Caenorhabditis elegans: one gene and its partner. The protein of the gene in region 1 purifies or fractionates together with the protein of each later gene. This does not show direct contact. Each region holds a gene or a part of one and is shown on either strand. Other genes may lie near its edges.

Region 1 (3,797 bases):
CAATCTCCAGAAGTTGTCGCAGAGCAACGTTGTAATGATTGTGGAATGAGCAACGATCTATGGATTTGTCTAATTTGTGGAAATATAGGTTGTGGAAGATACGCAGAACAACATGCACAACGACATTGGGAGCTCACTTCACATACTTATAGTTTGAAAGTTGGAGGAGAACGAGTCTGGGATTATGCTGGAGACAATTACGTGCATAGATTGATTGAAAATGGAGCTGATGGGAAACTTGTCGAGTATCAGAGAGAATCGAATGCGGTATGTTCATACTGGACCAAAAAAAAATTGTTGATTTAAAAACAATAATTTTTTGTTAAAAAACTGGTGGAAACAAAAAAAAAGAATGTTTTGAGGCTTCAAAGTGCCGAAAATCAACCTTTTCGTATAACTAATTTGAATTTCGCGCACTAATTAGTTTTGAAAATTCTCGGCCGTGTACTCCTCTCGGGCAATGAATCAATTAATTTTTTTGGATGCAATTTTTCGGGTTTTCTCATTGAATTCTATTGGTTTTTGTTTGAAAACAAATATATATATATATATATATGCGTCTGTAAATGCGTTTCAAATTAATTATCACACAAATACTTTTGTTCTGCCTAGGAATAAGTGCTAAAATCCTGTAATATATTCATTTTCCCCTTTATCGTTGAATAATAAGTATGATCATGTTCTAAAAGTGTTTGAAATCCAAAGTGTTTGATTTTTTACTTTATTTTTGCTATCATAAAGCAAAATTTTTTTTTTTTCGTGAAAAAATACCTTTGAAAAACAGAAAAAAAAGCAAAAAAAAAGTCCAGCACTGTTTTGTGGCCTTTTCATTCTATACAGAAAATTTATAAATTCATTTAAAATTTTGTTTTCAAGTATTCTGACTAAATAGACCAGAATGTTTAGTCTTCACTCAAATTCCCTAAAAATGTTGAAAATTGCAGAGCTTTGATGACAAAAACCAAAAGGGTGGAGACAAGCTTGAGGGAATCAAACTCGAATACACTCTACTCCTGACCAGTCAACTTGAGGATCAACGGAAATATTTTGAAGGTCTACGTCACGATATGGAGCAAACGATGTCAAAAATGGAGAAAACTGCTTATGCTCAAGTAGAGAATCTCGAGCATCAACTGACGGAACGATCAACTGAATTGAAATCATTAAAAGGAGATTTAGATGATACTGTGACGGCGAGAAAAGTGGCAGAGAAACGAGCAACGCAGACAAATGAAAAAGTGAATAAGCTTGCAAATGAGTTGAAAGATGAACGTGAAATAAATCAAATGTTGAGAAAAGATCAGCAAGTGTGGAAAGGTCAAGTGGAAAAGCTTATTGAAAGTCAGAAAACTGCTCGAACCGAGTATGAAAAGGTATTCGTCTAAATAGATTCCCTTGATCTCTTGAAAGCTTTTCTTTTCAGAAAATCGAAGATCTTCAGTCACAAGTCAATGATCTTTTGATGCATTTTGAAACTCAAAATAAGCTGAAAGAGCAGTTGGATGCTGGAAAAATAACTCAAGAGGTTGGTTAACCAATGCTCGCCACAATAAAAATGTTTAATTTACAGGAAATAACTGAAAGTCAAGTTGAACTCGATTCGTCGTCCTCCTCGTCGAGAAAATTGAACAGAAAGAAGAAAAAGTAGTTGGCATCTCAGGAGATCCATGTCCTATTTAATTTTTGCATATTGAACATTTCTTTAATAGTCTTTTCATATATGGTTAGTCTCACTTGAATATTTATTCGCTTTCTTTCGCGTATCTCATCGAATTTTGTGCGGTATATATGTATGCAGCCGGTAGTTTATTTAATGCATTCGCTTATGAATAAAATGATATCGTTCGAGTGTCTTTTGGTTTCATATTATGTACCATGTTTTCAATCGTTATTAAACGACGAGTCAAAAACTATTTTTCGAATTCCCTCCTCTTTCCTTGCTGACACATTTTCGGTGCTGACGCAACTCTTGTGTTCACTAAGAACGCACACTTCGTTTTAAACGTCTCCGCTGGCCATCATTCTTGTTTCCTTCGATTTTTCTCGATACTTATCTTTTACAAATTATTTTCTCTTTTTTTCAAGATTTCCATCAACTTTTAATATCACTGCTCTCATAATTTCTCGAAACTCTTCGTATTTCTCTAATTCAAAAGTTTTCTGCCGCATTTTTACACTCACTAACCAAGATTATCGATTTTTGGGCAATTTATGACAATTTGGAATCATCTTTTGTGTCGTCCGATAATGAGTTTCGTTCATCAAAAATGCAGAAATATCGGTATAAACAATGTATTAATCTAACATTAAATACAAATTTAACCTCTAGATACGGTTTACCTTGGTAGTAACATTCACCGACTAAATGTGCCTGATAATCTTGTCAAATGGAGCCAAGAATGGTCAGGATACAATCCTCCGGCTCACACCGATCCAAAAGTTGATGGAGCTGTTTGGGCAGACCCAGAAATCGATGAGAAAACGTTCCAACCGTCTTGGAATGCGATCGATGGGAAAATCAATAGAGTGTCATATGTTTGGTGCGTTTATGAGTGTATATACTCAATCAATCAAGAAACCTTCCAGTCAGTACTCATTTGATCCTGTCACCCTTCGCCCACTAAATCCTATTGGACGTACGGGACTTTCTGGTCGTGGTTTGCTTGGTCGTTGGGGTCCAAACCACGCAGCAGATCCGATCGTTTCTAGAACAAACGACAATGGTGATTTGGAGTTTGTTGCAGTTCAACGTCATGACAATGGCGAGTGGGCAATTCCTGGAGGAATGGTGGATGCTGGAGAGCATGTTTCACAAACTCTACGGCGCGAATTCGCAGAAGAAGCAATGCATGGAATTGTCGATTCTGAAAATCTTGATGAATTGTGGAATAATGGTAAAGAGTTATACAGGTGCATTCACAGCTCTTTTATCCCACTCAATGTTTCATTTACAGAGGTTACGTTGATGACCCACGTAACACTGATAACGCATGGATGGAGACTGTTGTTTTCAATTTTCATGATTCAAAAGGCCTTCTGAAAAATGTGGCTCTTCAAGCAGGAGATGATGCTAAAGCTTTACGCTGGATTGCAGTTAATTCAAATGAGCCACTTTACGCTTCTCATTCTCATTTTATTGATCTTCTAAAAGAATCTCATTCTCATTAACTACCACATGTCTCTCTTTTCTCATGTTCTCCTCTTATTTTCGCGTTTCTGTTAGCTATATTCAATTCATAAATGATTTTCATTTCAGAAATGAGCCGTGGAGGAGGTGGTGATCGTCGTGCCGCACCGGATATCAATGGTCTAACTTCGCTGAAAATCGACAACTTGTCGTACCAAACAACGCCCAACGATTTGCGTCGAACTTTTGAGCGATACGGAGACATTGGAGATGTTCACATTCCAAGGGACAAGTACTCTCGCCAATCGAAAGGATTCGGATTCGTTAGATTTTATGAGTAAGTTAAATTGGAACTATTGGAGAGAAAACATCAGAAAATCAATATTATTTTAGACGTCGTGATGCTGAGCACGCATTGGACCGCACAGACGGAAAGTTGGTTGATGGACGCGAGTTACGTGTGACTCTTGCAAAGTATGATCGACCATCGGATGAGAGAGGAGGCCGTGGAGGTGGTGGTGGACGTAGAAGGTTAGTATACTCAGTTGATTCCCCTTGTAGTTGTGCTCAAAAATTAGGCGCGAGACTTAATGGAACCCTTGTCTTCCTGACTTATTTATAGAACAGCAGCAGAGCCAGATGTTGCTGAGCTGAGCTGAATTTTTGCTGC
Region 2 (3,850 bases), 530 kb from region 1:
CTTTTGTTCTGTTTCAACTCTTCAGATGATGAAGCTGTGGAAGTTGTGAAGTGTCTCATGAAGAAATATCCGAAGGTTGATGCGAAACTTTTCTTTGGTAGGTCAACTGCTTTTCTGGAACATTTTTCTTAAAATCTTTTATTTTTTTAAGGAGGTGAAACCGTTGGACTGAATCCAAAGATCAACAACATGATGCCTGCGTATCGTTCTGCACTTTATCCGCTGATATTAGTTAGTGACAGTGGAATATTTATGCGTTCAGATGGTGTTTTGGATATGGCCACAACGATGATGAGTCATGAGAAAATGGCATTAGTGACACAGACACCGTATTGTAAGGATCGAGAAGGTTTCGATGCGGCTTTTGAGCAGGTAGAACATGGATTCCTTAGAAAGAAATCTATAAGAGCTCTAAATTTTAGATGTATTTTGGAACTTCTCATGGACGTATATACCTAGCTGGAAATTGTATGGACTTTGTCTGTTCCACGGGAATGTCATCAATGATGAAGAAAGAAGCACTTGATGAATGTGGTGGCATTTCTAATTTTGGAGGATATCTTGCAGAGGACTACTTTTTCGGAAGAGAGCTCGCAAATCGTGGTTACAAATCTGCAATATCATCTCACCCAGCTCTCCAGAACTCATCATCAGTATCGGTTTCGTCATTTCTCGATAGAATTTGCAGATGGGTCAAGTTAAGGATTGCCATGTTGCCACACATTCTTCTCGTTGAGCCATTGCAGGTAATTCCAAAATTCACTTTTTTTTAAATCTCCAATATTATAGGATTGCTTCCCGTCTGGTTTAATCATGGCATTCAGTTTGAATCATTTGGTAGGATTGAATATAATGCCAATATTGATACTTCATACTATCTACTGGTTCAGTATGGATTACTCGCTAATGAACAGTATGCAGGTAATATATTTTCTAATAAAATATACATCAACATTTTTCAAATTTCAGAATGGCAAATTGAGCTTCTCTCCACTTCAATTTATGCTCATTTGGCTTTTGCGTGAGCTCACCGCTCCTTTCGTCTTTATCAAAGCTCTTTTACAACCAACAATTCAATGGCGAAACAATGTTTTTCATTTGGCATGGGGTGGACAGATACTTCCACCAAAATGTTGATTGTTTCATTTATTCATTTTATTTCCAAATTTCACTAACCCCAAATTCATCATTCTTGTCTGTGATTCTGTTTCTCAACATTATCGTAAATCCTCTCACTACATCATCTGAATCTTTAAAGTCCGGGTTGTTGTCTCTCCATCAGTTACATTGTTAGCTTCACTCTCCTATGCTAACTGTCTCACATTACGGGTGACATCTGAAATACCATCTTCTGTGCTATTAATACATACACGATGGCCTAATAAAATATTCAGATTCGATTTCCTTAATTTTACGATTATATGAAGCTCAGGTTCAGAAAAATTCCAACTATGTAATTTATATCACCATAAATACAAATATCGAACAATACTATTACCCTGATGCGAAATTTTGCGATGTTTCCTCTAAAAGTACGGTACCCGGTCTCGACGACACATCATTAAATTTTTAACATTAAATGCAAAAAGCTATGCGCCTTTTAAGAGTACTGTAATTTCAAACTTATGTTCCTGCCAGATTGTCATCATTTTTTTTTTCATATTTTCGACAAAAATACATTTATTCATCCTAAAAACTCACATATAACAATACAAACGCTCAACTTTTGAAAAATCGTTGGAAAAAATTCGATAAAAATTCTGCAGCAACATAAGTTTGAAACTACAGTACTCTTTGAAGGCACACACCTTTTTGCATTTAATAACATTTGTCGTGTCGAGACCTTTTTTTCGGCTCAAATACCACATAATTTCGCATATGAGTAATATTCAGAATAACAAAGTTTTCAGATGCTCTCCACTATTCTACGAAACAATTTTGTACGTCGCTCATTTTCGTCCCGGATTTTCAGTCAAAATGAGTACGAAACAGCAGCTGATTCAACATTAGAAAGATTATCAGACTATTTCGATCAAATTGCCGATTCATTTCCGGTTTCCGAACAATTTGATGTATCTCATGCAATGGGAGTTTTGACTGTTAATGTATCGAAATCTGTTGGTACGAGATGGTTCTTGTATTTCTTAAATTAATTACTTAATTTCAGGAACGTATGTTATTAACAAACAATCACCAAATAAGCAAATTTGGTTGTCCAGTCCGATGTCTGGTCCGAAAAGATATGATTTAGAAGAGGAGGGAAAGTTAGTAAAAACACATTTTCATTATTTAAATTGTATATCTTGATCAAAAGCACAACTCCACTAGACCGAATATGATCAAGATGATCGTGTAACGAAAGGTTTCACGAACATCAAAAGAGAAGATTTAGATATATATCAGTTTGCAGACAAATGAGATTAAGCCGAGATGAGTAACATGCAAGTGTCTTATTGCGTAAAGTGCAGAAAAGAGGCGGAGAGGATGAGCACAAATTAACGCTTTTTGATTTCAGATGGACTTATGCACACGATGGTGAACAACTTGACTCGCTTCTAAACAGAGAATTCCGAAAGATTCTGGCCGATGACCGAATCGATTTCTCGCGACATGTCTAATCCGGATTTCATATCATGTGATTTCTATTCTCTCTCGATTTTTCTCTTTTTCTTGCATATTTGATGTATCATGTTTTCTCATGTATTGTAACTTAGTTATATATTGTCTAGATACTTTTCTGGTAAAGTTTTTCTTGCCCAAGCGTTTTTTATACGTTTAATGAAAATGAAACTGTGGAAAAATCTCTGATTATTATCAAAAAGTGCTGACGGATTCAGATTCACGAAAACTTTTCCGTAGAGTCTCCGTTCTAGATTTACGTTAAACAACGCGCGGTTCGTTATTTCGGAGTGTCGTTAGATAACCAAATTTTCTCGCATAATTTCCAAAATGAGAATTTTACAATTTCTGAACGTTTGTGCCAAATTTATTATGTTCTTCTATGTTCCTTATGTTCTAAAATGTTAATTAGTTGATAAATTCGTATTATTCCGATTTTTAAACCGATATCTCAAGCGGTTGCGTTGTCTTTCTGTAAACATGATTAATATCGTCTCATAAAATTTTCAAATTTAGGCGACTCTTCTCCATCTACAACAAAAAAGTCATTTTTACTTGGAGCTTTGCTACTTTTCAAACAAATGCCACGCCTAGCGCTGCGGTAAGATCGTGTATATACTCTAACTAGTTCATAATCGAATTTTCAGACAATACAACTTCTATTACCGCGTGAATGGTGAAAAGGCCGAAGAATTGCTCAAAGAGTATGGCGAAGATGGAGATTTTCTTCTTCGATACAGCGAATCAAATCCGCAAAATTTCTCGATTTCTGTCAGGTTTGTTGTAGTCATTCACTAATAAATTAATACAATTTCGGAAATCGTTTTCAGAGTCGCCGAAGACAAAATTCTGCATATCAAGGTGACAAAGTATGAAAGCGACATGCTCAGTATTTTCGAAGATGAACGGACTACGCCAAATCAATTCGGTTCCATCACCGAACTCGCCGAATTCTACATGGAGTTTCCAGAAAAACTCAGGGAGAAGAATGGACTCTTTCTTGAACTGAAAAAACCTGTTTATGTGCCATATCATCTGGAAGCTTGCGCAGAAGAGCAACGACGAACGCAACTTTATCGCTGGTGGCATGGAAATTTACCGGCAAGTAGTGCCAACAAATTGCTGCAAACTGAAAAGAATGGAACGTATCTTCTAAGAGCAAGTCAACACATACCAGGAGCTCTCGTAATTTCCGCTAAGACAGAAGGACAAGTAGTACATTTGACTATCT

Evidence for each region.
Region 2: the proteins of ndx-6 (region 1) and frh-1 fractionate together in Caenorhabditis elegans (co-fractionation; one large-scale study listed by BioGRID). This does not show direct contact.

The regions. Positions count from the first base shown.
Region 1 is NC_003280.10:5,388,288-5,392,084, reverse strand, and holds ndx-6 (Putative nudix hydrolase 6), read left to right. Parts: upstream 1-2,203; 5' UTR 2,204-2,247; coding exon 2,248-2,281; intron 2,282-2,329; coding exon 2,330-2,540; intron 2,541-2,586; coding exon 2,587-2,910; intron 2,911-2,954; coding exon 2,955-3,168; 3' UTR 3,169-3,256; downstream 3,257-3,797. Other genes in the region: brap-2 (BRCA1-associated protein homolog 2), read left to right, coding at 1-267, 945-1,373, 1,424-1,525, 1,571-1,648; rsp-4 (putative splicing factor, arginine/serine-rich 4), read left to right, coding at 3,259-3,464, 3,521-3,658. UniProt on the Caenorhabditis elegans protein: Probably mediates the hydrolysis of some nucleoside diphosphate derivatives.
Region 2 is NC_003280.10:5,915,512-5,919,361, forward strand, and holds frh-1 (Frataxin, mitochondrial), read left to right. Parts: upstream 1-1,910; coding exon 1,911-2,121; intron 2,122-2,167; coding exon 2,168-2,264; intron 2,265-2,515; coding exon 2,516-2,618; 3' UTR 2,619-3,053; downstream 3,054-3,850. Other genes in the region: cgt-3 (Ceramide glucosyltransferase 3), read left to right, coding at 1-97, 152-372, 423-746, 790-921, 970-1,137; Tyrosine-protein phosphatase non-receptor type ptp-2, read left to right, coding at 3,201-3,220, 3,267-3,395, 3,450-3,850. UniProt on the Caenorhabditis elegans protein: Promotes the biosynthesis of heme as well as the assembly and repair of iron-sulfur clusters by delivering Fe(2+) to proteins involved in these pathways.